Arabidopsis thaliana: one gene and its partners. The protein of the gene in region 3 interacts with the protein of the main gene of each other region in a pairwise test. Each region holds a gene or a part of one and is shown on either strand. Other genes may lie near its edges.

Evidence for each region.
Region 1: the proteins of DSPTP1 (region 3) and CIPK19 interact in binary tests that used the Arabidopsis thaliana proteins (3 or more experiments, as listed by UniProt).
Region 2: the proteins of DSPTP1 (region 3) and MKK2 interact in binary tests that used the Arabidopsis thaliana proteins (3 or more experiments, as listed by UniProt).
Region 4: the proteins of DSPTP1 (region 3) and HPY2 interact in binary tests that used the Arabidopsis thaliana proteins (3 or more experiments, as listed by UniProt).

What each region holds. Positions count from the first base shown.
Region 1 is NC_003076.8:18,581,492-18,588,817, forward strand, and holds CIPK19 (CBL-interacting protein kinase 19), read left to right. Parts: upstream 1-3,184; 5' UTR 3,185-3,450; coding exon 3,451-4,902; 3' UTR 4,903-5,099; downstream 5,100-7,326. Other genes in the region: CIPK20 (CBL-interacting protein kinase 20), read right to left, coding at 5,590-6,909. UniProt on the Arabidopsis thaliana protein: CIPK serine-threonine protein kinases interact with CBL proteins. Binding of a CBL protein to the regulatory NAF domain of CIPK protein lead to the activation of the kinase in a calcium-dependent manner.
Region 2 is NC_003075.7:14,591,042-14,599,200, reverse strand, and holds MKK2 (MAP kinase kinase 2), read left to right. Parts: upstream 1-3,897; 5' UTR 3,898-3,959; coding exon 3,960-4,036; intron 4,037-4,124; coding exon 4,125-4,236; intron 4,237-4,491; coding exon 4,492-4,626; intron 4,627-4,768; coding exon 4,769-4,993; intron 4,994-5,077; coding exon 5,078-5,260; intron 5,261-5,353; coding exon 5,354-5,577; intron 5,578-5,661; coding exon 5,662-5,707; coding exon of another isoform or gene 5,708-5,722; exon of another isoform or gene 5,723-5,785; coding exon 5,786-5,902; 3' UTR 5,903-6,162; downstream 6,163-8,159. Other genes in the region: VIP3 (Transducin/WD40 repeat-like superfamily protein), read right to left, coding at 44-670, 1,135-1,473; homolog of CFIM-25, read left to right, coding at 1,884-2,068, 2,160-2,205, 2,306-2,399, 2,490-2,563, 2,652-2,738, 2,839-2,949, 3,083-3,154; PLP8 (PATATIN-like protein 8), read left to right, coding at 6,665-7,927, 8,022-8,159.
Region 3 is NC_003074.8:8,474,834-8,482,197, reverse strand, and holds DSPTP1 (dual specificity protein phosphatase 1), read right to left. Parts: upstream 4,077-7,364; 5' UTR 3,919-4,076; coding exon 3,917-3,918; intron 3,682-3,916; coding exon 3,516-3,681; intron 3,416-3,515; coding exon 3,280-3,415; intron 3,177-3,279; coding exon 3,056-3,176; coding exon of another isoform or gene 3,025-3,055; exon of another isoform or gene 2,945-3,024; coding exon 2,799-2,944; coding exon of another isoform or gene 2,755-2,798; exon of another isoform or gene 2,706-2,754; coding exon of another isoform or gene 2,677-2,705; exon of another isoform or gene 2,663-2,676; coding exon 2,547-2,662; 3' UTR 2,357-2,546; downstream 1-2,356. Other genes in the region: AT3G23620 (Ribosomal RNA processing Brix domain protein), read right to left, coding at 325-441, 535-600, 683-925, 1,039-1,284, 1,591-1,794, 1,983-2,051; AT3G23605 (Ubiquitin-like superfamily protein), read right to left, coding at 5,065-5,523; AT3G23600 (alpha/beta-Hydrolases superfamily protein), read right to left, coding at 6,543-6,683, 6,758-6,858, 7,119-7,208, 7,303-7,364. UniProt on the Arabidopsis thaliana protein: Has a dual specificity toward Ser/Thr and Tyr-containing proteins. Dephosphorylates MPK4 in vitro.
Region 4 is NC_003074.8:5,099,145-5,107,214, forward strand, and holds HPY2 (RING/U-box superfamily protein), read right to left. Parts: upstream 5,016-8,070; 5' UTR 4,939-5,015; coding exon 4,849-4,938; intron 4,627-4,848; coding exon 4,555-4,626; intron 4,195-4,554; coding exon 4,084-4,194; intron 3,990-4,083; coding exon 3,879-3,989; intron 3,790-3,878; coding exon 3,650-3,789; intron 3,385-3,649; coding exon 3,302-3,384; intron 3,209-3,301; coding exon 3,066-3,208; 3' UTR 2,700-3,065; downstream 1-2,699. Other genes in the region: AT3G15130 (Tetratricopeptide repeat (TPR)-like superfamily protein), read right to left, coding at 1-78; AT3G15140 (Polynucleotidyl transferase, ribonuclease H-like superfamily protein), read right to left, coding at 568-768, 847-970, 1,068-1,193, 1,448-1,528, 1,796-1,998, 2,295-2,573; AT3G15160 (AP-5 complex subunit zeta-1), read left to right, coding at 5,438-5,539, 5,632-5,778, 5,874-5,965, 6,084-6,180, 6,473-6,516, 6,590-6,678, 6,918-7,015, 7,095-7,241 and 3 more. UniProt on the Arabidopsis thaliana protein: E3 SUMO-protein ligase that modulates cell cycle progression and functions as a repressor of endocycle onset in meristems. May function downstream of the meristem patterning transcription factors PLETHORA 1 and 2 (PLT1 and PLT2) in root meristem development.

The DNA of each region.
Region 1 (7,326 bases), on a different chromosome or scaffold from region 3:
GGAAGCATATTTTATCAAGACATTATTTATTGTTTTTAATACATAAACTCGAAGTTTAGACTTAAATCTTATATCCAAAATATGCAAAAAACCGGGTTTTCAAAATTATTACATCTTTAGAAACTTAAATTGTTTTCCATACAAAAAAATTAATAAAACTTGTAGATTGGATGACTTGATAACCACCGGAAAACAATTTCACCACTCAAAATTGAAAACTGGTGGTTACATAATTCTTTAGTTAAATTACTTAAACTTTTAAGAGTTTTAGTCAAAATATATATCCAAATGCATGCGGTTGATTGTGCTTGTAGTTGTCTAAGAAAAACATATAATAACCCCCATATTCCTGTTTATATTTCATTGTTATGATATTGGTGTTTAGTTGACAAACAAAAAAAGTTCTTTTGGTATTAGATCTCCTACAACAAAAGTCTAGATTACGTCAAGACATTTGTGTATTAATTACATATAAATTTCATGATGTCTAAAAATTGAACTCGACCAACACTATTAAGTTAAGTTATTAAATAAGAACTAGCAAGTCATTTTCTCATCTTTTACATATTGCAACAATGTGTTTGTGAAAACGCAAAATGATTGATGTACGTATACTTCGGCCATTTTTTCTTGTCGTGATGGCAGGATTTAAATTCTCCAAAATTCAATTCACTTATATATAAACGGTTTTATTTCTGATCCATCCAATTTTTGTTTTCCATTAGTAAAGCATTGAATTTCCTAAAAACTTTCACAATTAGAACATCATGGTGTAAATATTTAAGTCTAACAACACGTAATTATTGTGAAAGTAATGTGCTGCAAATGGGTTGTATTAAATAAGCTTGGAAATGGAAGAACAAAATGGTTTTACTGTATATTAAAAATACCTTGTCATAACAACTAATTTAAAATGAAGAAAATTATGATCTTGGGAAATTCCAAACAAATCCACTAAATCCCAAGACAAAAAGATCCATAGAATGCCAACTAATATTCCACAAAGTATCTAACACATTCACATTCTCCTTGAGCAACCCAACCTAAAAGTTAATCCACATTCTTTATTTTATCATTTTAACCACTCACACCAACATTGTTGGTCCATGTGCTTGCTTATATGTGTGTGCGATCTCTTTGTTCTATTTTAATGTTATTGGGTTATTCTTATGTTACTGCTGGATCTTTGACATGATGATCATTTGTATCAGCGTTGCCTCTATGTGATAATCAAAATTTAAACTAATTGTATATGTATGTGAATTGTGGGCAACGTAAAAGAAATTTATGCAATTTCCGTACTACCTAACTTGATGTTGGGAGATCGATGAGAGCGACTCAAACTGAATCATTCTCATTAATCTTCCAACACTTGATTATTATCCTCAATATAAACAATCACGTTAAGAAATTGCAAACTGTTTTCTTTTAAGAAAATTAGAAAGACGGTTTTTAAGGAGGAACTAGATTGTCAGTATTTTATTTTTTTATTTTGGCTAACAAAATAATACTTCTTTATTTATAATTAAACCATTGACTGAACTGACCGGACTATATAAGTTATGTTTTACAATGGCGCAACTATAATTTGATATGTTGTATCAACTTGTAAAATCAATCAAGTTTTGAATCCGGAGTCATCTGATTAAGGTAAAGATGTACATTTTAAGTTTTAATAGAGCAAAAATCTCAATTTTGCAATAGATAAATTGTTATAGATAAAAACAATTTTTAGGCCGAAATTCATTCATTTTGGACTTTCAGGCCAATTATAGAGTTAAATTCCAGTCCATTTTGCTGGTCCATGATTAGGTATGGACCTAAATCTCTCTTTTTTTGGCAAGCCCAGTCTAAAAAGAGAAAATACAATCCAGCCCAATTGACTAAATCTCTCTGTTTACATGACCTATTTTTGGTGACAAATTTTAACAATCTGTTTGGAGAAACAGTTCACATGGATAATTTTGTCAACAAAGAAGAAAGAATTGAGTAAATTGCTCTACTTCACACCTGTCAAAAGAGGTTAATTCACCAACTACATGTGTGACCTGATACGTGCACGTTATTATCAATATGTACGTCTAAAAAACCTTAAGAGTTTGAATATTCGTATTTCGTAACACTCTCAATATTCAAATATTATCAAAAATAAAATAAAATATTATCAATAAGATTTGTTAGTTGGGTTGGGTAATCTATCAAATACACTAATACAGCAAATCATTTCAATTTCACGACAAGTGGAAACTTTTCATTATGTCACTTTGCTTAAATCTTCACCGACCATTATGTCACTTTGCTTATATGTAAACCTTTGACTTACAATTTGGTTTTCTAATTAAAAAAACAATTAATGAAAAACTGTAATTTGACCTGACTAGTAAGTTAGTAACTCAAGACAAATAAACACCAAAAAGGAATGAAAATAAAATTTATGTATATTATTTTATTAATTTTATGATTTCATGCAAAACAGATTGTGAATGATTTGTAATCATATTTCGAAAACGTCAAAATGTGAAGAAATTACATACAATATTGTTGAGTTTTCTAATTAGGTGATACTTCAATTTTGGAATTAGTCATGTGCTAGAATTAAGTACGTGTCTACTAATCTACTAATATATCAGTTATGTGGTGTAAACTTTTAAAGCTCTATACTTTCTTAATATGTAGTATATTATCGAAGGATCAATGTTGACATTACGATGATAATGACATTTACGATTGTAATTGAATATTCTATAATGCCAAGATGTGATCATTTTCGTTTCTTACTCTTTCATAAAATTCTTTTGGTGTTTTAGGGACCTTTCAAAGAGACTGCGTTTCTAGGTCTTAGATTCGAATCTTGATGCTTGGAAATGATTAGTTCTTGATCTCAGTGATTACGAGTCCAAGACTCAAAACACTTTGGTTTAAACTTTTTTTTTTTTTTTTTTTTTACTTATATTCCATTTCCATTGTTTCTATATCTATGGAAATGAAAAATAATTCATTGATCTTTTCTATCTAAATAAAAAAATTCTCCTTCGGTTTCAAATTATTTTTTATTGTTTGTATTAGAAACAATCAATTTTTCTAACATAGTATTAGTTTTTTAAGCATTTAAAGCAAAAAAAAAAAAAACAGTTGACCAATAGGCTATATATATGTGTTGGTGGTATACAAAAAGTGAGATTTATTTGTATACCAATTCTGAAACATTTCCAAATATACCACAAGAAAAATCCTATTTCTGGAAAAAGCCCTAAAAACAGAACAGAGGAAGACGAGAAAAACAGAGAAAGAGAGAGAGAGAGAGAGAGATCGTCTTCTTCTACAACCTCTCAATAATCAAACAAAAAAACGTGTTTTTTTTTTTTTTGCGAATTCGATCTTCGATCAAGAAGATCTTGATCTCAAAATCCAAACTTTTCTTCACCATTTCATGAGAATCTCTCGCTTTCAATGGCGGATTTGTTAAGAAAAGTGAAATCGATAAAGAAGAAGCAGGATCAGAGCAATCATCAAGCTCTGATCCTTGGCAAATACGAAATGGGTAGGCTTCTTGGCCACGGAACCTTCGCTAAAGTCTATCTCGCACGAAACGCTCAATCTGGAGAAAGCGTAGCGATCAAGGTAATTGACAAAGAGAAAGTTCTCAAATCCGGTTTAATCGCACACATCAAACGCGAGATCTCGATCTTGCGCCGTGTTCGTCATCCTAACATCGTTCAGCTATTCGAAGTCATGGCGACGAAATCTAAGATCTATTTCGTAATGGAATATGTTAAAGGAGGTGAATTGTTCAACAAGGTAGCTAAAGGAAGGTTAAAAGAAGAAATGGCACGTAAATATTTTCAACAGTTGATCTCAGCCGTATCGTTTTGTCACTTCCGTGGTGTTTATCATCGAGATTTGAAACCGGAGAATCTTCTTTTAGACGAAAATGGAAACCTAAAAGTCTCTGATTTTGGTCTTAGTGCTGTTTCTGATCAGATTCGACAAGATGGGTTATTTCATACTTTTTGTGGGACCCCTGCTTACGTGGCACCGGAGGTTCTTGCTCGGAAAGGCTACGATGGAGCTAAAGTCGATATTTGGTCTTGTGGAGTGATCTTGTTTGTGTTAATGGCAGGGTTTCTTCCTTTTCATGATCGGAATGTTATGGCTATGTATAAGAAGATTTACAGAGGAGATTTTAGGTGTCCGAGATGGTTTCCGGTTGAGATTAACCGGTTATTGATTCGAATGTTGGAGACTAAACCGGAGAGACGGTTTACAATGCCGGATATTATGGAGACTAGTTGGTTCAAGAAAGGTTTTAAGCATATTAAGTTTTATGTTGAAGATGATCATCAGCTTTGTAACGTTGCTGATGATGATGAGATCGAATCGATTGAATCGGTTTCGGGGAGGTCTTCTACGGTTTCTGAACCGGAAGACTTCGAGTCTTTTGATGGGAGGAGAAGAGGTGGTTCGATGCCTAGACCGGCAAGTTTGAATGCTTTCGATCTCATTTCGTTTTCGCCAGGTTTTGATCTTTCGGGTTTGTTTGAGGATGATGGTGAAGGATCTAGGTTTGTGTCTGGTGCTCCTGTTGGTCAGATCATTTCTAAGTTGGAGGAAATCGCGAGGATTGTGAGTTTTACTGTGCGAAAGAAGGATTGTAAAGTGAGTCTTGAAGGTTCAAGAGAAGGAAGTATGAAAGGTCCATTGTCAATTGCTGCTGAGATATTTGAACTGACACCAGCTTTGGTTGTTGTTGAAGTGAAGAAGAAAGGAGGTGATAAAATGGAGTATGATGAGTTTTGTAATAAGGAGTTGAAACCTAAGTTGCAGAATTTGTCTTCCGAAAATGGCCAACGGGTTTCTGGTTCGCGTTCTTTGCCATCGTTTTTACTTTCTGATACTGATTAGGAAGATGAAAAATGAAGTTTTTGTTTCTGTTTTATTAGTTTTGTGACTCATATGTGGGGTTAACGACTTGTAATGTTCTTGTTCTTTGATGGTGTGTGAGAGACATTAGAATTTAGACCTAAAGAGAGTGGTGAGATATGAATCATTGATGTGTAGAAAACACAGATGGAATAAACAAGTTTCTTTATGAGTTTGCTTCTTTTTTTTCTTTCTTTTTCCTTCTTTTGAATTTTAATTCTGTTAGTTTGAAATATGACAGAAATTCACTTAGAACAAGATTGTGTAATTTCTGTTGGAAATTTTGTCTACTAACGTCAATTAATATGACGGTTTATGATATATAATTGAACATGTAGAGTTTACAAAAACAAAATCTTGAGAAGAAAGTTTAGCATTATAATCCAAGCCACACCATTAGCTAATCCAAATTTGTGTTGTTCTTTTAAATATGTTATATTCTAGTCATGCACCTTTAACCATAAACAATTTATTAATCCATTTATTTCTGTCACTTTTCTTTACTTCAAATCTTTGTGTAACTATTGACCCCAATTAATTAAATAAATAAATCAACAACAATCTAAGATATGTGATGATGATTGCAGCCATTATCATAAATCTCATCTTTTACACGGAGATCTAAAGAAAAACAACCAAATCCAGAAAAATATAAGATGAAAAACACATTTAATGTATCACTTCAATCTTCTCATTGTTGCTATTGTTGTTGTTTCCTTGCCATTTCCAAACAATATCTTTCAAAGAAGGCCTAAGCTCACGATCACAAAATTGCTTATACTCCATTGTATCACCTCCACTTTTCTTAAACTCAACCATATGAAAACTATTTGTCACTTCAAATATCTCAACATCAATCGCAAGATGTCCTTTTCTTCCTTCTCTCTTATCTTCCATCTTCACTCCTACATCGCTCTTCGTCAAATTGAATCTCTCACTACTTGTTGCTATCTCCTCGAATTTCGACACTATCTCTTTTGCATCTTTCTTCGTTGTAAACTTCGATTCTGATCTCTCTTCTTTCTCAAACAAACCCGAGAGATCGAATCCTTGAGACAGCGAAGAGATCAAGTCAAACGCGTTGTAAGACATCGGTTTTACGGAAAAAGCTGCGTGGACATCGCTGATCAGTGAGTCGATCTGATGACTTTCGGGAGATTTAGGCGTTTCGATCTTCTTGAAACCCTTTTGAAACCAGGAATTCTCCATGATTTTTTCAATCTTGATTCTTGAATTAGGGTTAGGGTCAAGAATCCGAGACAACAACTTCTTGACCTCGGGAGGAAACCAATTCGGACATTTGAATTCGCCTTTCGTGATTTTCCGATACATTTCCACAAGATTTTGCTCGTGAAACGGAAGAAATCCAGCCAATAGCACGTACAACACAACCCCGCAAGACCAAACATCGGCTTTAGCTCCATCATAACCTTTCTTGCCTATCACTTCAGGTGCCACGTAAGCAGGTGTTCCACATGTCGTGTGAAGCAAGCCATCTTGCTGCTTCGACTCCCTCAACGCGCTAAGGCCAAAATCCGATATTTTCAAATCGCCGTTTTCGTCTAGAAGAAGATTCTCCGGTTTGAGATCGCGGTGGTAAACTCCGCGGCTATGGCAATAATCGATTGCTCCGATCAATTGCTGGAAATATTTTCGAGCAATGTTTTCTTTAAGCTTTCCTTTAGAGACTTTATCAAAAAGCTCACCGCCTTTAACGTATTCCATAGCGAAATAGATCTTTGTCTTGCTCGCCATTACTTCATGGAGGAAGACGACGTGGGGGTGACGAACGAGACGCATCACTGATATTTCTCGTTTGATTTGATCGATTAATCCGACTTTCGCAACTTTCTGTTTGTCGATCACCTTGATCGCTACGCTTTCTCCTGTTTTTATGTTGCGTGCGTGGTACACTTTTGCGAATGTGCCTTGACCTAGAAGACGACCTAATTCATATTTTCGCATCAAAACTATGCCGTTTTTATCCATTTATTGACGCTTTTGAGGGAACAAAGGAACTTGATGAAAAAGCAGAGGATGAACTATTGATTAACTTCGTCTTGGAATGTGTTTCCCATGGCTTAGAAGAGATGGAGCTCAAATTTTGAAAATATCAATTATATTTTTTCTTCTTTTTTTTTGGGGTCTAAACCTTGCATATATCAAAATAGTAATGCTAAAAACAAATACAAGAGGAAAAGATCTTAGATTTGTGTGGTCGTGGTGATGCTTCGAGTGGGCTCTTCTAAATATAGTGGAGGCTAGTTGTTGTTAAATATTAGAATATCCCAGATTTTTGTGTGTGTATATAATAGATTTTGTAATTACAAATATATGTGGACTTCAATGCCGGTCCTGTCTGTAAATCTTAAGAATCATGATTCAAAATAAGAGTTGTCGCATAAA
Region 2 (8,159 bases), on a different chromosome or scaffold from region 3:
CTTGGAGAATGCATAAAAGAAAAAAGTCAAAAAACCGAATTGTTCATGAGTAATCATAGAGCGATACACTCTTGTCATCAGAGACACTAGCAAGTCGACCAGCCCGGACACCGGTTCCACCTGGTGGTCTAAAGGCCACAGACCAAACCTGGTCATTGTGGTTGCTCATTGTCTGAATCGCAGCTCTCATTTTAAGATCCCATAGCCTCACAGTTCTATCGCTTGAGCCGGTTGCTATGGCTCCACCGTCTGGGCTAGCATCAACGCTCAGCACCCAACTCGTGTGCCCTGACATGGACCCCAACAGCGTTTTCCCTTCTGCATCGTGCATGTTCACATGCCCATCATCTGATCCAGAGAAGAGGACTCTCGGGTCTACAGGGGAGAACACAAGGGACCTTACAGGCATATTGTGACCTTCTAGCTGGTGAAGTAGCTTTGAGCGGTCAACATCAAAAACACAGATCGTACCATCCATTGAACCACAAGCAAGTCGTTTCCCATTAGGAGACCAAGCCACCGAGAGAACGAATTTCTTGCTGCTGGTTTTATCGGAAGGTTTTGGTGCATCTGGGCGTGGGATTGATAGAGTTGAGATTAATCTCCAGCTTGCAGTGTCCCAAAGCTTGACTGAGGCACTACTTCCACCTGCAACAGCAAGGATCGTACCCTTGGAACATGTAAAATACTATGTTAGCAGAGCACCATTCTAAAGAGTAATGTTGAAATTATAAGCTCAGAAGCAAATAAAAACTCCACTGCAAACTAAAAGAGAGATCATTGCACTGATACTTGATAGTCACCAGGTCAAAATTCTATCATACCAAATCAAGATTTATCATCAAAGCACCAATAAATTGTTCTTAATCTACTATATAAGACTCAATGAAAAATCAGAAGATGATCTAGATCTATTTTCCGAGCAGAGTAGATGACCCTATCTGATCAGAGCTACAGATTCAAACGATACTCAGCAATTCCATATAGTACCCAAGCATTGTTATATAGATCAGGAGAAGCATTACTCGCAACTAAGAAGTGAAATTCAATGAAGCAATCGAATTCTTTCACCACAAAACAACCCAAAATCCTTCAAAACCCTAAAATTGGAGGCAATCTCATTGAGTCAATTACCTTAGGTTCAAATTGCATTCCCCAAACCTCAGAAGGAGGAGCTTCCAAAACAGCAATCGTAGCATTAGTATCAACATCAAACACACGGACAAAGCTATCAATCGAAGAAGATGCTGCAATAATCCCAGAAGGATGCGCAGCCAAAGCTGCTACTCCCAAAGAGTGTCCAGTATTAGTCCGCACAAGATCCAGCTCGTCCGGTCGCCATAACTTCACCGTCTCGTCAAGAGATCCAGTCAGAAGCAACGCCGGTCGATCTTCCGTCGCCGGAACCCACGTCGCTGCCCAAACGGAATCTTCGTGAGCGTTCTCGATCGATTTCAGACCTGCGAGTTTCATTCTCTTTTTAGGTTTTTACTGTGTTTCCTCAAGTGAGCAAGAAGAAGCAAAAGACCCAAATTTGAAACAGAGACTTTGATTCTCGTTTTTTAGTTATAAAATAGAAACTCGCGTCGTTTTTAGTAGTTGGAAACAATAGAGTGTTTAACATCGTTCCGTATTCTTGTTTACTACTAAAGGCCCATTAATATCGTAACAGGCCCATTAATATCTTCTTCCTCACTCTCCCGCCGTCGTCAGCTAATTGCGGAGAAGTACTCTCTGGAGCCGCCACGTCTCAGTGATCCGACTACGACACCTTTCTTCACTCTTCTTCTTGCGTCTTCTCTGCTCTCGTGGTCTCTCTGTTATTTAATTTTAATCGATTGAGATCGCTTTTAGCTCTCGTCTTTGAATTTTACGGGCAGAAAATGGGTGAAGAAGCTCGAGCGTTAGATATGGAGGAGATCAGTGACAACACGACGAGACGAAACGATGTCGTTCATGACTTGATGGTTGATTTATACCCGCTTAGCAGCTACTACTTCGGTTCAAAAGAAGCTCTTCGCGTCAAGGACGAGATTATCTCTGATCGAGTCATCAGATTGAAATCCAAGTAAATCGAGTTTTGATGTGATTTAGATCATCTGGTTTTTTTCTTATTGTTTTAATCTATAGCTAAAGTTTCTTTTTTGTTTCTTTTGAAGTTATGCTGCTCATGGATTGAGAACTTGCGTTGAAGCTGTTCTTCTGGTAATTTTATAGTTGGTAGCCAAATTAGGGATTTTGAAAAGTTTTACAGGGAAAATTGGTTTGAAAGGATTGATTAAAATCTAATGTTGGGACACATCAGGTTGAGTTGTTCAAGCATCCTCATGTTTTGCTTCTTCAATATAGAAACTCCATTTTCAAGCTTCCTGGTGGTCGTTTGAGACCTGGAGAATCAGGTTTAGTATGCTGTTTCCTTGCATCTTTATGCATAAATATCGCTGTCTCAATTCTAAACGCTAAAGTCATGTTTCTCCTTAATCTTCTAGATATTGAAGGTCTAAAACGGAAACTAGCATCAAAGCTATCGGTTAACGAAAATGTGGGTGTTTCGGGTTATGAGGTAGGAACTATGGCTTCTTGTTAAAGTGCTTTTGTATCTGATTGTTTCTGGCTTAAGAATGGTCTCTCTAATTACAACATTGTTGTAGGTAGGAGAATGTATTGGGATGTGGTGGAGACCCAACTTTGAGACATTGATGTATCCTTTCTTGCCACCTAATATTAAACACCCAAAGGTTGGTTAGTTAGTTTCACTTTCATTGTAAGAAAAAGTTGAGACTTTTGAAGATTTGCGCTTATACTAAAAGCTCTGCTCTATCCTCATCTTTTGTGTAGGAATGCACAAAGCTTTTTCTTGTGAGATTACCGGTACATCAACAGTTTGTTGTGCCTAAGAACTTCAAACTCCTCGCTGTTCCATTGTGTCAACTCCATGAAAATGAAAAGGTATGTACTATCTTACTTGCATTGCCCTTAACTCATCGTGAACTTTTAATCGATGTTCCTGGTAAAACTAACAGGGTCAGTCAATCAAGCTGTATTTAATTATGTGTTGTGATGTTTCATTTATGCGTTGCAGACTTATGGGCCGATCATGTCGCAAATTCCTAAGCTTCTTTCGAAATTCTCCTTCAACATGATGGAGATATGAACGAACCTCATGATCATTGCCTCTAGTAGCTCTTGCCCCCCGCAATTTGTGATAGGATTATGTTTGGGGAAATCGTTTGTGGAGCCTCTCTGAGTCTGTGACTATATAATGTATATAGGGCTTATAATATATAGACAATGTTGAAGAATAGCATGTTCTTGTTGGTTATAGAGACTAGACATGAAGTATACTGATAGATAGATTAATCAATTCGAAACAATTTTTCTTTGTGTGATAATTTCGATGTGTAATTGAATGTATACATGAGTAAAACAAATATAGGGGTGTATGCTTATTTGTATATTCCTTGTTGAAGAAAACCTTGTTATCTTCAAACATGAAACCGAGAAACATAAGTAAAGATTTTACTGTTTGTTATATGTGTTTATTGTATTTGATCAAACAATATTTGAAATATTGAAAACTTTCTATAAATATCAAACGTTAGTTTGGCATTCTGCGTTAGCGTTTTGTTGTAGTGGTGATTTTGGGAGTGTTTAAAAACCAAAAGCTAAAGAACGAAGAATCACTGAATTAACCGGTTTGTTTCCGGTTAAAATGTGGATTAAAACTTTTCGGTCAAAGAAAACCGGGAAAAAGAAGTAGTAAATGGGAAAGTCTCTAAGTCGTTGGTCAACGTCGTGAACATGTGCTTGACTAATATTAATTAATGGCTGTTTTATTTCCAAATTCCAATTTCTGGCTGAAAAGTACATGAATTATGCTTAAAACTGTGTTTTACTTAATATATAATGACGAGGAAACAACAAAAAGGAAGAAGCGAAGAACGAAGTAGACGAAGACGATGAAGAAAGGTGGATTCAGCAATAATCTCAAGCTCGCAATTCCTGTTGCTGGCGAGCAATCCATCACCAAATTCCTGTATGTTTCTCGATCTCTCTTTCTCCATGGATCTGTGGATAGATAGATGTATTTGTGTGTGGAAATGTCTCTGGTTTTGTTTTTGAAGGAGGAAAGGTTTTGGTTCTCTCTGTAGGACTCAAAGCGGTACGTTTAAGGATGGAGATCTACGTGTTAACAAGGATGGAGTTCGAATCATTTCTCAATTGGAGCCTGAAGTCGTAAGTCTTTCCTCTTCCTCGTTCGGTGCTGATTTTACTGAATTTCGCGAGTGTTAGGTTTGATTGTTTATTTGTACTGCATATGAAGATTTTGTTGAGTTTGAATGCATTAACTGTAATGTGGTTGGTGGATCTGATCATAATTAGAACCTTCTTAAGATCATTTCTGTAGTTCTGGATAGAGAAACTCAGGGATTAAGCTCATATCTTCTAGATTACTGTTTGTAATCTGTTTCGTTTGCGACTGTGTTTCAGCTGTCTCCAATTAAGCCAGCTGATGATCAGCTGAGCTTGTCGGATTTGGATATGGTTAAAGTCATTGGCAAAGGAAGTAGTGGTGTTGTTCAGCTGGTTCAACACAAATGGACTGGCCAATTTTTCGCCTTGAAGGTACTCATTGGTTAACCTTCAGATTCTTTTATGTATATGATGAGCTAAATTCCTCATCTTTTCTCTGTGTTTGAAGATTTACAAATCTTTTTCTTCCTTGCCTTGTCACTCACTGTGCATAACTCTGATGCTATATGATTAGGTCATTCAACTAAATATTGATGAAGCAATTCGCAAGGCAATTGCACAAGAGCTCAAAATAAATCAATCGTCACAGTGTCCAAATCTTGTTACCTCGTACCAGTCATTTTATGACAATGGCGCAATCTCACTAATCTTGGAGTACATGGACGGAGGATCTCTAGCAGACTTTCTCAAGTCAGTTAAAGCCATCCCTGACTCCTATCTTTCTGCCATCTTTAGACAAGTAAGAAACACAGGATACACAGGAAACTATACGCTTCACTGTTAATTGGTTGATTGATGTGATTTATTGGTTCTGTTATTGCAGGTGCTTCAAGGATTAATCTATCTTCATCACGATAGGCATATCATCCATCGTGACTTGAAACCATCCAATCTGTTGATCAACCACAGAGGAGAAGTCAAAATAACTGACTTTGGTGTGAGTACCGTTATGACAAACACCGCAGGTTTAGCAAACACATTTGTGGGGACTTACAATTATATGTCTGTAAGTATCTTATTTGTCTCTTGAGCATTGACTAGTTTGAAACCCCTTTCGAGTGTTATAAAAATTGAGAATCTTAATTTTTCCTTTTTACAGCCAGAGAGAATCGTTGGAAACAAGTACGGAAATAAAAGTGATATATGGAGCTTGGGTTTAGTAGTACTCGAATGTGCAACAGGAAAGTTCCCTTATGCACCTCCGAATCAAGAGGAAACATGGACCAGTGTTTTCGAGTTGATGGAAGCCATTGTTGACCAACCGCCACCCGCTCTTCCTTCAGGAAATTTCTCCCCTGAGTTATCTTCATTCATCTCCACATGGTAATCTCTCAAAAAATTCCTGCTCCCTCTTTTACTGAGATTACTTTACTAAGTTAACATATTCCACTCTACACTCTCATCCAGTTTGCAGAAGGATCCAAACAGTCGAAGCTCTGCAAAGGAACTGATGGTTTGTTTTATATAATCCCTTTTGCATGTTTTTCATCCATTGAAATGTTGAATCATACTCTGTGTCAAACAATTTCAGGAACATCCTTTCTTGAACAAATACGACTACTCGGGGATCAATCTCGCGTCCTACTTCACAGATGCAGGATCGCCACTTGCAACACTTGGGAACCTGTCTGGTACGTTCTCCGTGTAAACTACAAGGGAGACATAATATCACCATCTGGTTCCTGTTATCATCTGAAGATTTCTTGTTTTACCTTCCAGTGATAAAATGATCTTTATAATACATATAGATATATTAAATTGCTGTATTTTAAGATTATAGATATATAAGGTACATGAGAGTGTTTATTTAAAAAAATTCACTTGGAATTCATGTTTTGTGATACGTTAGATTGGAATCCATTTGGGAAAAGAAGAATCATCTGTTCTTATGTCTCAAATTTTGACTTCATTCACTTTTCTTCTTGTCTTTTAAGAAAGCTTCCACAATCTAACTGTTCGATGTGAAAACTGAGATTCGAGTAAGAAAATGTGAACTGTGTTATACTGTTTTTTAATTAGATAATTTAGATTGCACTCAGATAAATTAATAACATTCCTCGAATACTTTTATGTGATTGGATATATTAGGTATATCTGCCAACCAACCAATAAACTGCTATGTTTAAACAAATTAAATAAATTAGTATATGTTTACTCAAGAATAAAGAAGATAGAAAAGAAAATTCTATATGAGCTAAATTTGCTGGAGGAGGCATCGGACGTGGGTACCAGACCTTTCCAAGCACACGAGTAGTGCTTAGCCATGTCATGCTAACATACACCATTTGGTTCATACAAAATCCAAATCAAAATCTATTTTTAAAATCTTTTGCACACGTCTTTGAAAAACACCTCTCATACTATAGCTACGGAAGCTTCAATTTCAAGGTTTGTCTAAAAGCTAACGATTATGAATCGGCGCTACGAAAAGCCACCGCCATTGTCAGTTTCCTCCAAAGGGAAGAAGAAGCATTTTGTCAATCACACAGCTCCCAACACTCCTGGAAATTACGAGAGGACTCAAACCAGTCCAACGTTATCAACGGCTCGATCACACGAACCCGATGATAAGCTCAATTACGAGATCTTCTCAATTCTCGAAAGCAAATTTCTCTTTGGTTACGAAGACCCAAGGCTACTATGGATTCCTCAGAGTCCATTACGACCCGGTGATTCCGAAGCAGGTCCTTCTCCCAGATCACCGTTGACTCCAAACGGCGTCGTTCTCCCGGGAACACCGTCTTCATCTTTCAGAAGTCCGAGAGGAAGAATCTGCGTTTTGAGCATTGACGGTGGCGGTATGAGAGGTCTTTTGGCGGGAAAATCCCTAATCTATTTAGAGCAAATGCTGAAAGAGAAATCCGGCGATCCAAACGCTCGAATCGCCGATTACTTCGACGTCGCTGCCGGATCAGGTGTCGGTGGAGTATTCGCTGCGATGATATTTGCGACAAGAGACGGCAACCGCCCGATTTTCAAGGCGGAGGACACTTGGAAATTTCTCGTAGAGAACGCAGAAGGATTCTACAGATCAGGGAGCGGAAGTGGAGGAGGAGGAGCAGGAGCGGCGATTAAACGGGTCATAAGATCTGGATCCGGATCCGGATCATCTTCAGTAACCGCCGCAACGGCGAAGCTAGAAAAAGCAATGAAAGCATCATTCGCCGATCTAACGCTTAAAGACACACTCAAACCAATTCTCATCTCTTGCTACGATCTCTCAAGCACGGCTCCGTTTCTATTCTCACGCGCCGACGCGTTAGAAAGCGACAGTTTCGATTTTCGTCTCCGAGATATTTGCCGTGCCACATGGGCGGAGCCGGGGACGTTTGATCCGGTTCGCACGTGTTCCGTCGACGGGAAAACGCGGTGCGTTGCGGTGGGGGGTGGATTAGCGATGAGTAATCCGACGGCGGCGGCGATAACGCACGTGTTTCATAACAAACAGGAGTTCCCGGCGGTGAAAGGAGTGGAGGATTTGTTGGTGTTGTCGCTTGGGACTGGTCAGCTTTTTGAAGTGAATTATGATTATGAACAGGTTAAGAATTGGCGCGTTAAGGAATGGGCTCGGCCCATGGCGAGAATCTCTGGTGATGGGTCTGCTGAGTTTGTTGATCAAGCTGTTGCTATGGGCTTTGGGCCTTACCGAAGTAGTAATTACGTTCGCATTCAGGTTTTTTTTCTTTTTTATCATGATTGGAGACAACGTTGTATGTTTTGGCGTTTTTTGGATGAAAAAATCATTAGAGAAATAAATTGTGGTGCAGCAGGCAAATGGATCGCGATTAGGAGCTTGTGGACCGAACGTGGACACGGATCCAAGAGCAGAGAATGTGAAGAAACTGACGGAGATAGCTGATGAGATGTTGAAGCAAAACAATGTGGAGTCGGTTTTGTTCGGAAGC
Region 3 (7,364 bases):
TTAAAAGAGGTAAAAAAGTTGTTGGTAAGACAGTGATACAGGCAAAAATTGTGGTCTCATTCAACACGGGAAAAAAGTTGCTGTCTTACGCATGTACTGCAGTAGGAAACAGAGATAGACAAAAATGTGTTTTTATCATATCCAGTTTCTGTTGCTGCAGAGTTTTAACAAAACAAAATCACCTTAATAAAATATTAGCGTATAGAAAACATTCAGTTATAGATTCTAATGGAAAAATAAAAGTCAAGCTCATTACACTACAAAATCATTTCATCTTCCACATATTGAAAGCTGTTGATGCAGAGCCAAGAGTGGTCTGTTGAGTCACTCAGAAGACACCTTCATCTTTTTGGCAACAGTCTCTTCCTTATGCTTAAGCTTAGCGTCTTTCCGCTCTCTCTTCGATCCCTTAGATTTATCGAACAGTTTCATTTCTTTCAGCTGCACAAAGATCGAAAACATATCAGTTTGGGATGATAATAAAAATAATAATCTCCAGATTCGGATATTGGCGTTTATCGCTTTCTTTCTTACCTTCTGATCAGGCATATAAATCTTCCCAGTCTTCCCTAGTACTGCATCTTGATCAACGTTTTTCTCCTGTAGAAGAAGAGATTGATTGATTAGTCATCTGTCTCTTTCGATTTTAAGAGAAATATTAGACTTTTATGTTGTTTAGTACCTTCTTCTTAGGCTTATCCTTGGATGTTCTCATTGCTTCTTTCATTAAGCTATCGTTAGGAAGACGATTACGCCTGATAACCAAGTCCATGGATGGACCGACTTCAACAAGCTCCATTCTCGGAACAATGGATCCTGACTTTTTAAGCTTCAATGCGCAATGAGTAAGGAAAACCTTTGTTGGGGATATAGCTGAACATACGTAAGCGCGGTCTAAACCAGTAAGATTTAGATTATCCACAACCTGCAGACATATACAAATTCTGTTATAAGCCAAATCCATATAGAATCAGAATAAAATTGAAACTGGTTATGGAATTAGCTGCAAAAGTAGGTCATAAGAATCAAACACTTCACCTCGCCACGAAAAAGATCAGTGAGGACTTCTTTGAGATGCTTAAGCTCTGATACATTCTCAAAACCTTCACCAATAAAGCAAATGAAAGGCTTTGTTCCTTCATGAGGTGCGAATTTCTTGTCATACGAAAACGCCCGCAAGGATTTAAAGTTCTCAATCCCAACTTCTATAAGATCATAGACTTGGTGATCATACATTCTCCCAAGTACAAGATTGTCAGGTCGTTTCTTCGTGTGAGAACCATACTGCAATATAAAAACAATCACCAATGTTAGAACTCGCATCAAAGTTAATTTGCCAATACACCTTTCCAAATGACTTCTTAAGGCCTGTGATAACATCAGCCAATCATACCAATTTCCACCATAAATAAATACACATAGACTAACAAGACAGAAGCAGAGATGCCTTAGAATGAATCTAGATCACAGGATAGATCATCTTAATAACATTTTGTTCTATCTAGCAGTTCATAGCTAAGTTAAGAGGAGAATCAAAGTTGCAACACCATAAAACCAAGATGCAACAGCTGCCAAAGCTTATGAACTTACCACAAAAATGCTACAATCTGTTTTCTGAGAGAAGAACTCTAATGAAGTTTCACCTCCACTCTCGAAAGGCCTAATATTCTCATTCCTCCTTGAATATCTGATGGCACCTCCCTTCTTCAAACGGTAGAGTTCCGTCATTACAGAGCTAAGTGTAGCACTCGTCTTTGTTCCATGAAGTATCAACGTCTTCTTCCCAGTTTCAACCTACAAATTCCAAAAACAACCAATTCAGATACAAAGTTTGCAACTTTCAATCGATTCTTTGATAAATTTATCGACAAATAGAAAACCCATGAGTCTCATAGATGTCAAAACAACATTGAAGACAGCTCTCAACATGATTCACTTCTCGGTTTTAAGAAGGACGAAGGAGAAAAAGAAGAGAACTTTACCAACTTAGGAGCTCGGCTTTCGAGAACACGCTTGGCTTTGCCAGTCTTCGGAGTTCGTATTTCCATCATGACTCTGTTAAATCGCCGGAAAGTTTCACAAGCGACGGCTCCGAAAGAAGAGAGAAAGGTTTTTCGATTGATTGATATGGAGTCTAGGGTTTTAGTGCCTCCTCACAATTGGAAGCAACTTTAAGAGAATTCTAATATGACCCCTAACCTTATAAGTCTGTCCTAAATCACCCCACAGTTTTTTATTGACTATAAAACCCAATGTTTCACAAGGTCCATGAACTGTTTAAACTATACGGGCTCAAATTAAACAATGACAGCCCATGAACTTTTACACACAAAAAAGACATTTCATTGCGGTACAAAAAATTTACAAATTTTTATTTATGTTCACTTTTATATCCATGATGATGAAACTATACAAAACGAATAGAGAACATGAACATATTCCAAATTCGTTTCCATGTTATTATTCGAGTTGTTAAGGAGAAGAAACAACAAAACATTTTGATTGATGCTTCGTGTGAGATTTACAAGTTTCTCCCAATGGTACGATCAATGATCTTCACGCCTGACATTGTGCAATCGTAACTTGCTTCCCTGTTTTATAGAGAAGAAGGAAGATGCATGTAAGAGATATTTACATGGAACTGTCTTCTCCTCCACAACCACTTGCTTTTCATCCTCAAAAGGAAAAAAACTGGTCACTCACTACTGAATCAGACAGACAAAGTATCTCCAACTTAGATTCACCACAGAGATCTCAACCTAATAGTCTAGACCTCAAGATATTATAGTAAGGCATACCTTGCATAGACTTCTCGAGGTCTTGTAATTGTCTGATGAAACCAGCATTAGGACTTGCCACGGGTCTTTTGCTTTTAACATGTTGCAATGCTTGAGCTAAAGTCATACCGTGTTTCTTCATGAGGTAAGCAACAACTATAGTGACACTGCAAGTAAAAGGGACAAACCATCCAGGCTAAATATGTACTTAGTTTTGAATACTATCCAGCAAACAAGGCGAAAACCGCTAGATATTGAAGGAAGCAAACAAAACTGACCTCCGTGATTTGCCAACAAAGCAATGAACAAGAACACTACCGCCTTGTCTCTTGGCTTCATCAATGAAATCAACACACTCATCGAAGTACATTTCTAGATTTGTATCTTCCTTATCCACGACTATCACATAGAAAAACAATCAAACAAGCAATTCCATCCCAAAATCAAAAACATATTCTCTCTTCAACTAGATAACAAAGTGAAACCTTTAATAAGTTTATACCTCGAACAACCTTGTAAACAAAGTCATCAGGATGAGCTGGTCTCAACGAACTAGCAACAGTCAAAATATGTGTAACATTGTAAGATTTCAAAACATTCTTATTACTAGCTGCTGCAACAGATCCAAGATAAAGACCCTGAAAAAGTCAAATTCAACAAAAGGTTTGATCTTTGATAATGAATCATTGGTCATTTGGTTGGTAGAAAAAACCTATGAGTATTAGTAGTAGTAGTAACCTGTTCAATAAGGGAAGGGACATTGTCGTCTCTATAGGTACGAGCAACTTTAATAACACGAACAAGAGCTTGTATCTGATTCTTCACCTTTTCATTATACTTTTCTATTCCTGGTAACGAAGAAGATGACGAAGAAGAAGAAGGTGATCCTCTGTCTCTAGAACTCCTGATTTCATCGAATCAGAAAAAAGAAGAAGAGAGTTTACATATCAAGATCGTGATCATAGCAGCAAGAATCAAAATCAAAATCAAAATCCAGGTCACCGAAATAATGGAATCCGATTCTGATGAATGATCTTATAACCGAACAACGGTGAATCGAGAATTACGATTACAACGACGGAGTAGTGATTGGTTTAAGATCAAAAGAAGAATTCGATTATCAAGGAAGAAGAACTTACATTGGAAAAGAAGGAATACGAATTCGCCAAAGGAGAAAGAGATTTACAAAAAAAAAAAAACGAATCTTTGAAATGGGTTAAAGAGGAAATTGCAACTGCATGGTTCTCCAGGTTTTTTGGGGGAAGGAGGAGGAGGAGAGGGAAGGATGTGTTCAAAGAGGGCCAAATAGTAAAATTTCCTTTCTATCAGAAAAATCAGAAATGTTTTAACTTATTAGCTCAGTCCTTATATTATACTCAAAAATTTGTGTTTGGGATTTGTGCTTTGTAGGCTTGGTTTCCTGCTATTAGGCCCCCTGGATTAGTAAGAAGTAGTGTACTTGGCTGAAACTGAGGCAACGGTGTTGTGAATATGTCAGCAAAACTGTACAGAGGCAGAGATGTATCGAGTGATGATGATGTTGTTGTTAAAGACTGTTTGTTATTATGACGTAGTAGTAATCTACTTTAATGTTTTTTTCGAGGGCAGTAGAGCACAAATCTACTTCAATATAGTCCATCGAAGTTCGATATTTTACTTCGATAGACTATCTAATCAAAGCCGGTCTCGACGAGTTTCTCGGTTTCCATTTTGGTACGGTCTTTCCCATTCCTAGAAATTGTGCATGAACATGAAGTACTTCCTTGCTCACTTGATGCTGTCTTAGGCTTGTTTAGAAATAGGACCCTAATTGCTTTAAGAAATCTGACTAAAAAGTAATGGACAATGTACAAATGTACCCTCAGCACACCCTCTAAGCCCGGTCCTGGCACATATCGACGAGTTTGTCGGTTTCATTTTGGTATGGTTTGGTTTACCCACTCCTTGCTCACTTGTCTTAGGCTTGTTTAGAATTTGGGCTTATGGGCTTGGTTTGCTACGTCACCGTATACGTAACTTCGTCACCTCAAAAACTATGCGAGAAAGAGTGACTTAAGAAGCAACAAAAAGATAAACCAAAAACTATACGTTCTTCTTGTATGATGATGACGACATTGACTTTGAAACAGTGTTATCTAAAAACGATTTGATCGGAAATATCTAACAACGATTCAAGAAAACCAAATGAAATTTGCAATTTCCAAGTACAAATTCGAGAAATTGAGTAAACATAAACTTGGTAGAAGAAAGAAATTATTTTTCTAATTACAGATCGAAAGAAGATTCTTCAGAGCCAAGTAACAGAAACCAAGGAATTAGCAAGCCCAGATTGTTCAAAAGTAGTATTAGATCCAAAATAAAGATTCTTATAATCCCCAGGAAACCCTTGAATCAATTTAAAACGCCGCTTTCTCTCAGAAGATTCATCACCAATCTGCGAATAACAAAACGACCAAAGAAGCTGAACAGATTCACTCTTTAAGAAACTTCTCTGTATTCTTCTCCCATCTGGTAATCGAACGCAGATTCTGCACAAAACGCTTTGATCCATATCGCGATTCGGTTCTTCTGGTAAGTTAGGGAATCCGAATACCGCGTTTGATGAATTCGTCGTATTCTCGGTTTCTTCTGATTCTTCTTCAGAGAAGCGTTTCGGGCGTTTGATTCTTCGCAGAGACTCGATTTCCAGAGAGGCGACGTCTACGAACGGTGATAATTTCTCCATCATTGATTGACACTCGAGCATCGTTTTGATCGATGATTACGGAGAGATTTAGGTAAATTTCAAAACCCTAATTGTTTCATAGTTAGAGTGGATTTTTGTGGAATTTGTGAGCTTCTCGTTTATTTATAGAGACGAGACGATAGAGAGGAGCTATAAAGGTTTGTTTCCTTTTCCTTGAAAATAGAAAAATAGATTTATTAGTATTATTGTTTTTGTGTTAGTAGAATTGATTTTTGGAGATATTCTGCGGATTTTTTTTTGTTTCTATTTTCCTTTTTTTTTTTTGTGTAATTACAGATTTTGTTTTTGATAATTGTAAGTTTGTAATACAAATTTAATTATGAGAAATCTACATTGATTATGAATTGAGATTTTATTTGATTTCTCTAAAGAACCTAGTGACTTTCTTGAGCAATATCTTCTTGTTTTGGCAAGTTTTTTTTTTCTGTCCACATTTTTGCACGATTTTTAAGCAACAATATAAATAATATATGGATCAATTTCTTATACAATAAATTTATCGTATAATTTTGTCAATTACTAGTTTTCTTTTTTTTAGGTTTTTGTGTGTGGACAAACTCTCTTAAATCATTTTCATGTAATGATTTTGACTCTTATAAATTACTCTCATTTGACCCAAAAAAAAAAAAATTACTCAAGGTCTCAAGTCTCAACAATCAATAATTTTGCGTTTTGACTATCAAATTCATCAAGAAGAAGAAGAATTGATTATTTCTGTATATATGTACAATATCTTTTTTACTTCTTTAGTCGAAGAAGACATTGATTTCAATCAAAGTTTGTTTTGGTAACTTTTTTTGCTTACCACAAGAAGATGATGAGAAGGGTAACGTATCGTCAACATATAAAAATCATAAAACAATGATTAACAAAAGGTATCACAGAATCTCAGAGAATGCTTCAAAAGACTATAGAAAGTAGAAATTGAAACACCAACCAAGAGTTTTGCTTTGTCTCTCTTTAATTTTTATTCTTTGCATATATGAAGTAATAGACAATACCTTTCTTTCTTTCTCAAATCATTTGATGTAGGTCACAAACCAATCAAGCATCTCCTTGTGAGCTTCTTCTGCTGCTTTAACCGCCTCTGGTTCATCGATGTTGTATCTAACTGTCCATCCGTGTGACACTTTCGGGTGTATCTTCACGTAACTATTCACCTACAGGATCCGTTTTAAAGTTAGATAAAGGTGATTAAATTACACTGTTGAGTTGCGGTGATAAAGCAGCTTACCTCGGGTTTGGAAGATAGAATCTCCTCAAATTGCTTCAAGAGTGCTGGTGGGGACATTTGATCAATTTCAGCTCCTAATATAGCAATTGGAGCCTTCCCACCTGCAATAAACCCGTGAAATTGATAAGGATCATCAAAGACCGGTGAAAGTAAAGAAACCGGACCAATCACAGTGTTTTTTATGTTTGCAAATGTGAATTAGTATTCTTTACAGTAATAATGATAGTATCTAATCATGGCGAGATCAGTTACGCAATCCTATAGGTGACTCTAAATGTTACAACGCATTAGGCAAGGCATGACAACTAATGTTCCTTGGTTCTATGTGAGGAATCAAGATGGAAGTAGCAAAGTCACTAACCTTTGATATCATCAACATTGACAAAAGAAGGATGAAGCAACACAGCTGCTTGAATAAGCTCTTCTTTAGACAGTTCCACCACTACTTTTGCTGAAGATGAATAACACAAGAGAGAAAAGTACTATCCATTAGACAAAAAGAGAGCGTCACATCTCTTAGGCATAGATTTCTAACAAAAACTCACCACCCCAACACATCCCTGCGGCTCCAATGGCAGTTATGCCTTTGTTCTTTATGGTTTCAAGT
Region 4 (8,070 bases), 3.4 Mb from region 3:
ACCTCCTTGATCAGAAAGCCCCTTCCTTGTGCAAACTCGCAAGATACTAACAAGGTTTTGTCTCTGATTCGGGATCATCGGTGTAATCTGGTCCAAATGAAACACGAATATAAAATGCGAGTTTGTCAATATTACAAACCCAAGCCCATGATGAATTTCTGTTTGTCAATAGTACAAACTCAAGCACACGAGAGTCCTCTTCAGTCAGCGAGTCTGACAAAATGAACGAAGTTGCTGTTTGACTTTCCGATGAACCAGCACACAGTCTATTACAGCCGATATTGGGCCAATTCATGGGCCTCTTATTCATTTTCGAGATTCTCAGATTTTCCTACAAAAAGTTGCTACCAAGCATTTTTGGGCCAATTCATGGGCCTCTTATGTCTTCGTAATCTAAATATCATAGCTCTGAAACATGTGAATCTACAAAACCTTCTCACCACATCACATTTAGGCGTAACCACATTGTCTTCTAAGAGTTATCATCTTAATACTCAAAAGACTTGACTAAGTAACTAATTTATGGATCATGGAGCTTGTTGGGTTTGTCATTTTTCCTTGAGAGCTTTACTTGATCCTGTTCTTGAAGAGAAACTCGACGTTTCTCATATTGGATTTGCTCCTTCGAGCTGTGAGCTTGAGAACTGCACCTTCTGAGAGCATCCGTTGCACCACCCTCGTGATGTTCTTTGTGTCATCAATGCCCAGATGGTGGCTTCCCATGAGTTTTATTCCACACTGCCTCATCATTGACACCATTCCTCTTGCCTGTCATGTCATCTACTATTAATGAGTTTACAATAACATACAATAAGATGATGATGCATAGTGATATCTCCAATTTACCTCACGGCCATAGAAATTCAAGTAGACGTCTTTGAGATTGATCCACTCCATAAAATATGGCGGAAGATTGATGTTTGAAACTACGCATTGCTCAGGAATCTTTGTCTTTATATCCCAGTTTCCACTGATAACATTAACATAATCAGTATCCCAAAGGAAATCAGTAATGAGAAACTCAAAGATTTACATAAGCAGCCCCATCTCTTATCATTAATTCTCACCAGGTTACAAAAGCTGCATCGTTCAGACCCCAATCTGTATCTTTATCCCACAAGTCATGCTCAGCTAACCAAACTTCAAACTCCTCAACAACTTGCTTAAATGGAATAGCTGTGTCATGCCACACACTACAATTCGATTTTTTAAAAGTTAGTGCGACAGTCTCAGAATCCAAAGAGAACCAAAAGAGGTGTTGGGAGAAGTCTGTGGAGTGTGGACTCTAAACCAATTCTTAGGATTATCATACTTAGCAGAGTAGTCAATTATAGCATTTGGTAACGCATGCATTAAGGATTGACTAGTGCAACTAGACAGAAAACATAACAAGCATTGTAGCCATATAAATATATCTACACCTAGAAGTAAGATAGTAGTAGCATACCGATCAACCCCGAGTTCCCCATACTTGCCTTCGATGTATTTGTTAATTGCTTGCTCGCTCATTTTGGTGGGTCTTACAAACCTTATGAAGAAGTATAGAGAACAAATAATCAACCACATTGTAAAATTGAGGAGTAAAATTATTAGAGAACAAGCAATAATTAACATTGTGGTATCTAGCTATGACCAATAACATTCTGAAAGAAAATAAATTTCTGAGGTCTTCTTATGTCTAAACAACTCACTAACAGTTCTTACTCCAATGACACAAAATCAACCATCCAAACAGCCAAAGACCTTACGATTGTTAAGAAAAGTAATGCCATTAAAGATAGGAAGCTGTTATGACCTGTGGAATAAGTCTACGACTTCCATGGTTTTGGCATCTACGATCAAAATAGGAAACTCAAGAATCTCAACTTTTCCTTCCAAGTCAATAACCAAGAAAAAATTGAATTCTTGTGACTTCTTTCTCTCAAGATCAGCAGCAGCCACTCGAAGTTCCTTTGAACAATCGTGGTTAAAAATCTCCAAATGGGCAGGATCATCCATCTGATATCATCAACATAAACTTTATTACCCATCATTCACGATTATTTAGGTATAAAAAACTAGTAAAGAATAACAATGTAACGATCGAGACACAAACAATAAACAAGTTCCAATCTCGTTCAGACATTCCATCGAACAGGTCGCAGACATTGCATAGTTGATTCAAATTTCGCATCACTTGTTTTCGAACAAGCATACGGAGCAGGAACCAATCAATAAAGAAATGGAATTTAATTCCGCATTCCGCTGTAGCAAAAACTAAATTTAAAAAGAACGACGAGTAGCAAAGTGTTTACCTTTGTACACTTTCCGTGGGTGTAATACAAGCACATGGGTCTCCACCTTGCATTTTCACTTGTTTCCATTAACGAAAAAGTAGAAGGAGAAGAAGAAGAAGAAGAAGAAGAAGAAGAAAAGTCAGAGGGAGAAGGAGATGGAGATACAGAATGCGAAGAGTTGCACATGATTCGTTTGGTATGAGCTAAAGCCAACGTGGCGGGATAAGAGAACCGGGTATCACGGAAAGGACTGATTCTGGACAACGAAACCCTAAATGCAGAGAATGCGGACGCCATTTTCGTCGATTAGCATGAAGATTGAAGATGAAGATCTTCCTTTCGAGTACAGGGACTGGGAACTGGGAAGCTAAAAGCCTTTAGTTTGTTTTAGTAACCAATTCAAATCGAACCAAAAATTGAATTTGAAAACCAAACTGGATTTATATCCACACAAACTCTTAACCAATGCCAAACCATACCATGAAAAACTAATAAACCGAGTAGACCTAATAATGGTACTAAATCGAAAATTCTGACTACAAGAAATGAAATTAAGCTTTGACTAGCCTCAGGAAATGAACGTAAACTTGGCAAAAAAAACAGCAGTTGAATTCAGAATCGGAAGAGATCGACTATTTACATCCTCCATAAAGTGGAAACAATTGGTATCAAATTTCACGTTTGATAAAATATACCGAACGGACTAAGAATAGCAAAAAGTTGTGAAACATATGGCTTCAACTTGTTTCATTGCAGCGCTTAAAACCCGGTCCAAGAAATGTCTGATCTCTAATCTTCATCCACATCTTCTGTGAAGTCTTCAATCACTTCAGCCCTATTAGATTGTTTGTTCAACGAGCGCATCTCCTCTATTTCAAACTTCAACATTGCATCACAAATCACTTTGCTATTCTGCAGTTTACCTCGGCACCCTGAGGATTTCAAGAGGTCATACAAATGACAAATCAGCATGAAAGAACAAAGTAATGGTGTCTAAAGATGTTTTTGAGCAAGAACTATTTTACCTGCTACAGGACAATTCGCATTTGGATTGTTGACTATGTAATGCAGGATTACAGATTTTTCATAGACGTGCCTGCAATCCATACTGCAACCATAAAAAGGATCAGAGAGACATGGTATCAGTTCACCGCACAATTGTATATTATTATTTGATTAGTTCTACTGCTACACGAAAGATGAAATCATATTCAAGCTTTATGGTCATGTATAGAAAGAAGTCAGTATCGACTGAATATGGCTTTTGAGGATCATCCTACATAGACATCAGGCATGGGAGAGGACAAGCAAATCGTCCGAACAAAACAAGACATCCAAGTTAAGGGAAAAAAGACAAGAAACATCCATTGTACCTGCGAACTGGATCTGCTAATTCAGTGACAGGCTTCCCGCTCAAGGGACATGTCATGTTTAGAAGAGGGCACTGAGTACTGGTCATAACAATGTCCTCATCATCGTCACCAGGCATTGGTTCACCTGCATGATGAACATTCTGCAGCAAAACATTGACAATAACTTAAAAAGGAAATCGGACTATAGACCTATTAGATACAAGCCAAGAACTTTAAGTTAAAAACATACCCAAACTGCTTCCCTGAACTGGCGCATCAAATGATCATTTTGTGGCACTGAGGAAGGTGTAGCCTTGAGCTTTGTGAATTCATCATCAAGCAACTTTTTAAAGTCCGTTAACTGCAGTCATTAGAGTAAAAATCAATTTGCTACATCTAAAAGTATGCAACCGAATAAGAAATTAGATAACACATGAAAGAGGGAAAGTGAGTACTTGTTCCACGGGTTGGTACCGATTTGCAACGGATTGAATTGCTGTCGAACGGTGATTACAATCACTATGCAAATCCAATAACTCAGCCACAGAATTTTCAAGGTCCTTAACCTGTGGAACCCAAAATATAAAAATGAAGAGCATATATAAAGAGCATTTAAGAAAAACAAAGACAGACATCAAGGAAAGAGTGTTGGCAAGAGCAGACAATAATACAATGTCAGAATGAAAGAGATACGTGATAACAAGTTTTACAGCAATGCAATTAACCAAGAATCAATCACATTAGAAGAAAGTCTAGGCAGTTCCCACAAGTTTAAGATAAGGTCACTTATGATTAGCCAATACAAAAACTCAAGGAGATGAATGAAACTACTCTACATTGTAGCAAAAAAAAAAAATGTAAAACGGCTACAAGTGCGTTTATCCCTGAAAACGCTTCCTCTCATATCAGACAAAATAATAACCAACCTTGTCCGTTTGATTTTCTTTCTCCAATTGAACTGCAATGTTCTTCATCATTGCCACAGCTTTGCGGATATCCTGCAAATAAAAGTAAAAACAGATACGAGATAAAGCAGATTCTAGGCTATAAATTTTGCCCAAATTAGAAATCCCTTGTTCACTTCTAACTAGTCAAACCCATTATAAGCCGAAGCTCCTATCTGTTAACATCTCGGAGGAAAGATTTCAGGAACTTCTCAGAAACCTATATTTACATCAAAAAAAAAAAAGAGTGAATTTGGTTTGAACGAAAATACTCACAGCAAGCGTGGAACTGTTATCGGAGACAAGAACCAAAGAAGCGTTCTGAATCCTTCCGGCAACTCCGTCAGACGAGGACGCCGACGCCATATCTATCGCTCCTTCGCTCCAATTTTCTCTTCCGAGGTTTGTTTTGGAGGGAGAAATCAGAAGACGGAAAGAGTGAGAGAGCCTGCGATATACGGAGGTTTGCTGAATAAAATGCGTGCCGTCTTATGCTACTATAAGCGACACGTAGTTAATTAATCCTATTAGAAAACGTGAAGAAGACAAGTCGTACCGGCCGAACGAAGTCGTACTGGCCAAACGATGTCGTATCGCTGCAACAAGCTATAAAAAGGCCGCAGCCAATCCATAGCCCGTCTAGGGGGTTTGCTTGATAAACTGTGTGCCGTCTTATGCTACTATAAACGACATGTGGACAAGAAGAGATGGCATGTAGTTTAAGGATATAGATCTTTGAATAAACGACGTCGTCTTCTTTCCAATCCTCTTTCTCCGGGACTCTGGAGTCGCCGAAGCTGAAACTTCTTCATCCATCATCATATCATATGAATTTTTTCTAGTGATCTTCTTTTTGATTGAGAACATGAGTGATCAAGAAGGAGACTGGGATTTTTACCTCAGAATCCTAAGCAACAGCGCGCGGGATTCTACGGATCCTGCTTCTGATCCATCTATACTACAATCAGTACGCATCTTTTGTCCATTTATTGAGAATTGGCTTGAGACTGGTATTAAGTGATACATTGCTTTCGTTTTGTTTGAATGTATATGGATTAGGTGAAGAAGCTGCATGGGTTCTGTAAAATGGAGAAATCAGATGATCTTGTGGCTAGAATTTATCCACAATTCAATAAAGTCTTCCATCGTTCGGTTGCTTCACTATCTCAGTCCGAGTCAGGGGCGTCCAAAGGCCTTCTCTTGCTAGTACATTATTCTCCCTGAAGAATTTCAGATGAAAGTTTGTTTTTTTACGTTTTGGGTTCTAGTGTGTATTAAGGATTCTGTGTTTGTGTGTTTAGGCCATTCTTCAGTTTTTTCTTGATTTTGGGGATATGGTTCTGCACGATTCTGACCCAAGTTTGAGGACATTCTTCCGCTCATGTCTTAGCCGGTATGGACTACCTTTTATGTCTTGACTGGGTCTTGTTGTGGCTCTGTGCTCTGAGATGTGTGCTACTATGCGTTTATGTAGATAAATTTTGCTGATATGATCATGATTTTCTTTGTAGTGAGTTCTCAGATGCCGCTGTGGCAGAGGCAACTTGTGAATTCCTTGTTGTGAACCAAAGAAAGCTCTTAGCATCTTTCCCAAACTTACTCCCTCAGGTATTAACTGGAATGACTAGCCATATAAATCCTTAAACTTTCTTTTAGCTTTCAGTCTCAAGAAGATTACTCTCTTAATTAGTAAAGTGCCTCTATTTATTGTGTTATTACTGTGTGCATCAACATATGTAATAGAACTGTATCTTTCTGTCCTTATAGCTTTATGCAATCTAGCTGTTCCTTCTGCTTTCATCTTTCTTAATTTGTGTCCATTTACATTTCCACCGCTTGAACAATTAAGCCATAACAGATATATTATATCTCTATCTAATTCAAGAAATTGTATTTGCAGTTTTTCCCGTTGTTGCTTAAGCTCATTGCCTGGAATTGGGAGAAGTAAGCTGAAAATATGCACAAGTGATTTGAACAATTATCTCAAGGAAATAAATTTTCTTTGTTCTAATTTCAGGTTGGAGAAGTCCTTCCTGAAGATATTTCCAGGACTGATATCACCTGGGTCATTTCTTCCTCTGTTTCCATCCATTGTAGACTTGCCAAGTGAGTCCGCTTGTCTAAAAAATGCTACTCGACTTCATATATTTGTTTGTACTCTAATTTGGAGACCACTTGGATGACTCCAACTGTACTAAGATGTATTTGTAAGCTGACTGGTTTCCATTGTTTTGAGCTTGTTTGGTATTTCTCCATTGATGCTTGGACTTTATTCTCTCAGCCTGATTGAGTTTACGAGTGTACTGTGTACTAATTATGTATCTTCTTGTTAATATTTTTGCTAGTATTGGTCGTGGCATTAGAAAAGGTGGAAAGGAGCTCGGGGTCGGGGTCAAGGGTTGGAGGTAGCATTGCTTCAATTCAGAAGAGTGCAGCTCCGGAGGTCTTATATCTCATAAAAACATAAACCATATGACAGTTCTTAGATAGTCAATGAATGACAAGGATACCTGTGAATGCAGATGCTTCTTGCCCTTATGGATGAAGCATATACTGGTTCAACCATCGGGGATGGAGGGGATGACTCTGAATCTGAAGATAACAATACAATAGATGTAGCTGATCCTCTGTTTCTGGAGCTTCTGAAGGACGAAAATGATGGTCTAGCGGTATGCATCCTTCCTCTGGCTTTGCTTTATTCCAAAAACTCAACAGAAACAGTTTTATATAATAATTGTCTATTAGTAAAAATTTAGGGCCTATGTGAAAGTTGGTAGTTTTTTAAACTGTCTGATATATTAGACAAACTGAAAGTATTTTGTCAAATTTGTGCTGCAGGAAAGACACCGCGCTTCTCCTACATTGAATGCAGCGCTGCAGGCTGCTGCAAGTGGTCCTCGGTCAGAGAGGATGAAGCAGACTCTTAAGATTGCTCCCCGACTTCTTGATGTCTACTTTAGTGTTACATTGCGAGATGCAAATGACTGTAAGATAATTTACAGCCTTCCTAGTTTGTTTTAGTTGCTAAAGGAATATAAGTCAATTTCCAACTTAGTTAGGCCGTTGACAACTTTATCTTTTGCAGCTCTGATCTGTGCTTTAATCCCTCTACTCATGACAAGAAACTCTACAATGTTTCCGGATAAGATTTTTTCTCATGAGGTACACGCATCTTCTGTATTGTTTTTCTGAAGACTTTCCTTAGAAAATCATTAGAACAGGCTAATTGACAATGTTTATTGATTTCTCTCCTCTAGATATGAGTGTAGCGTCCATTAATATTTCTTCAGAAATGCCAATGCTATTTTGACGTTTTAGTGTATAGACCTGTATCACTGCCATATTGGACGTTATCTTACAGAGATATTGTTTGCGTACACAGATCCGTAGGAGGCTACTGGAATTTGTACTAGCTGCATTTCAGAGGTCTCCAAATTTCATTGCCCTGTTGAAAGTAATGTCTGCCTATTTTATTTTATTTTTTTGTGCGAGTAATAG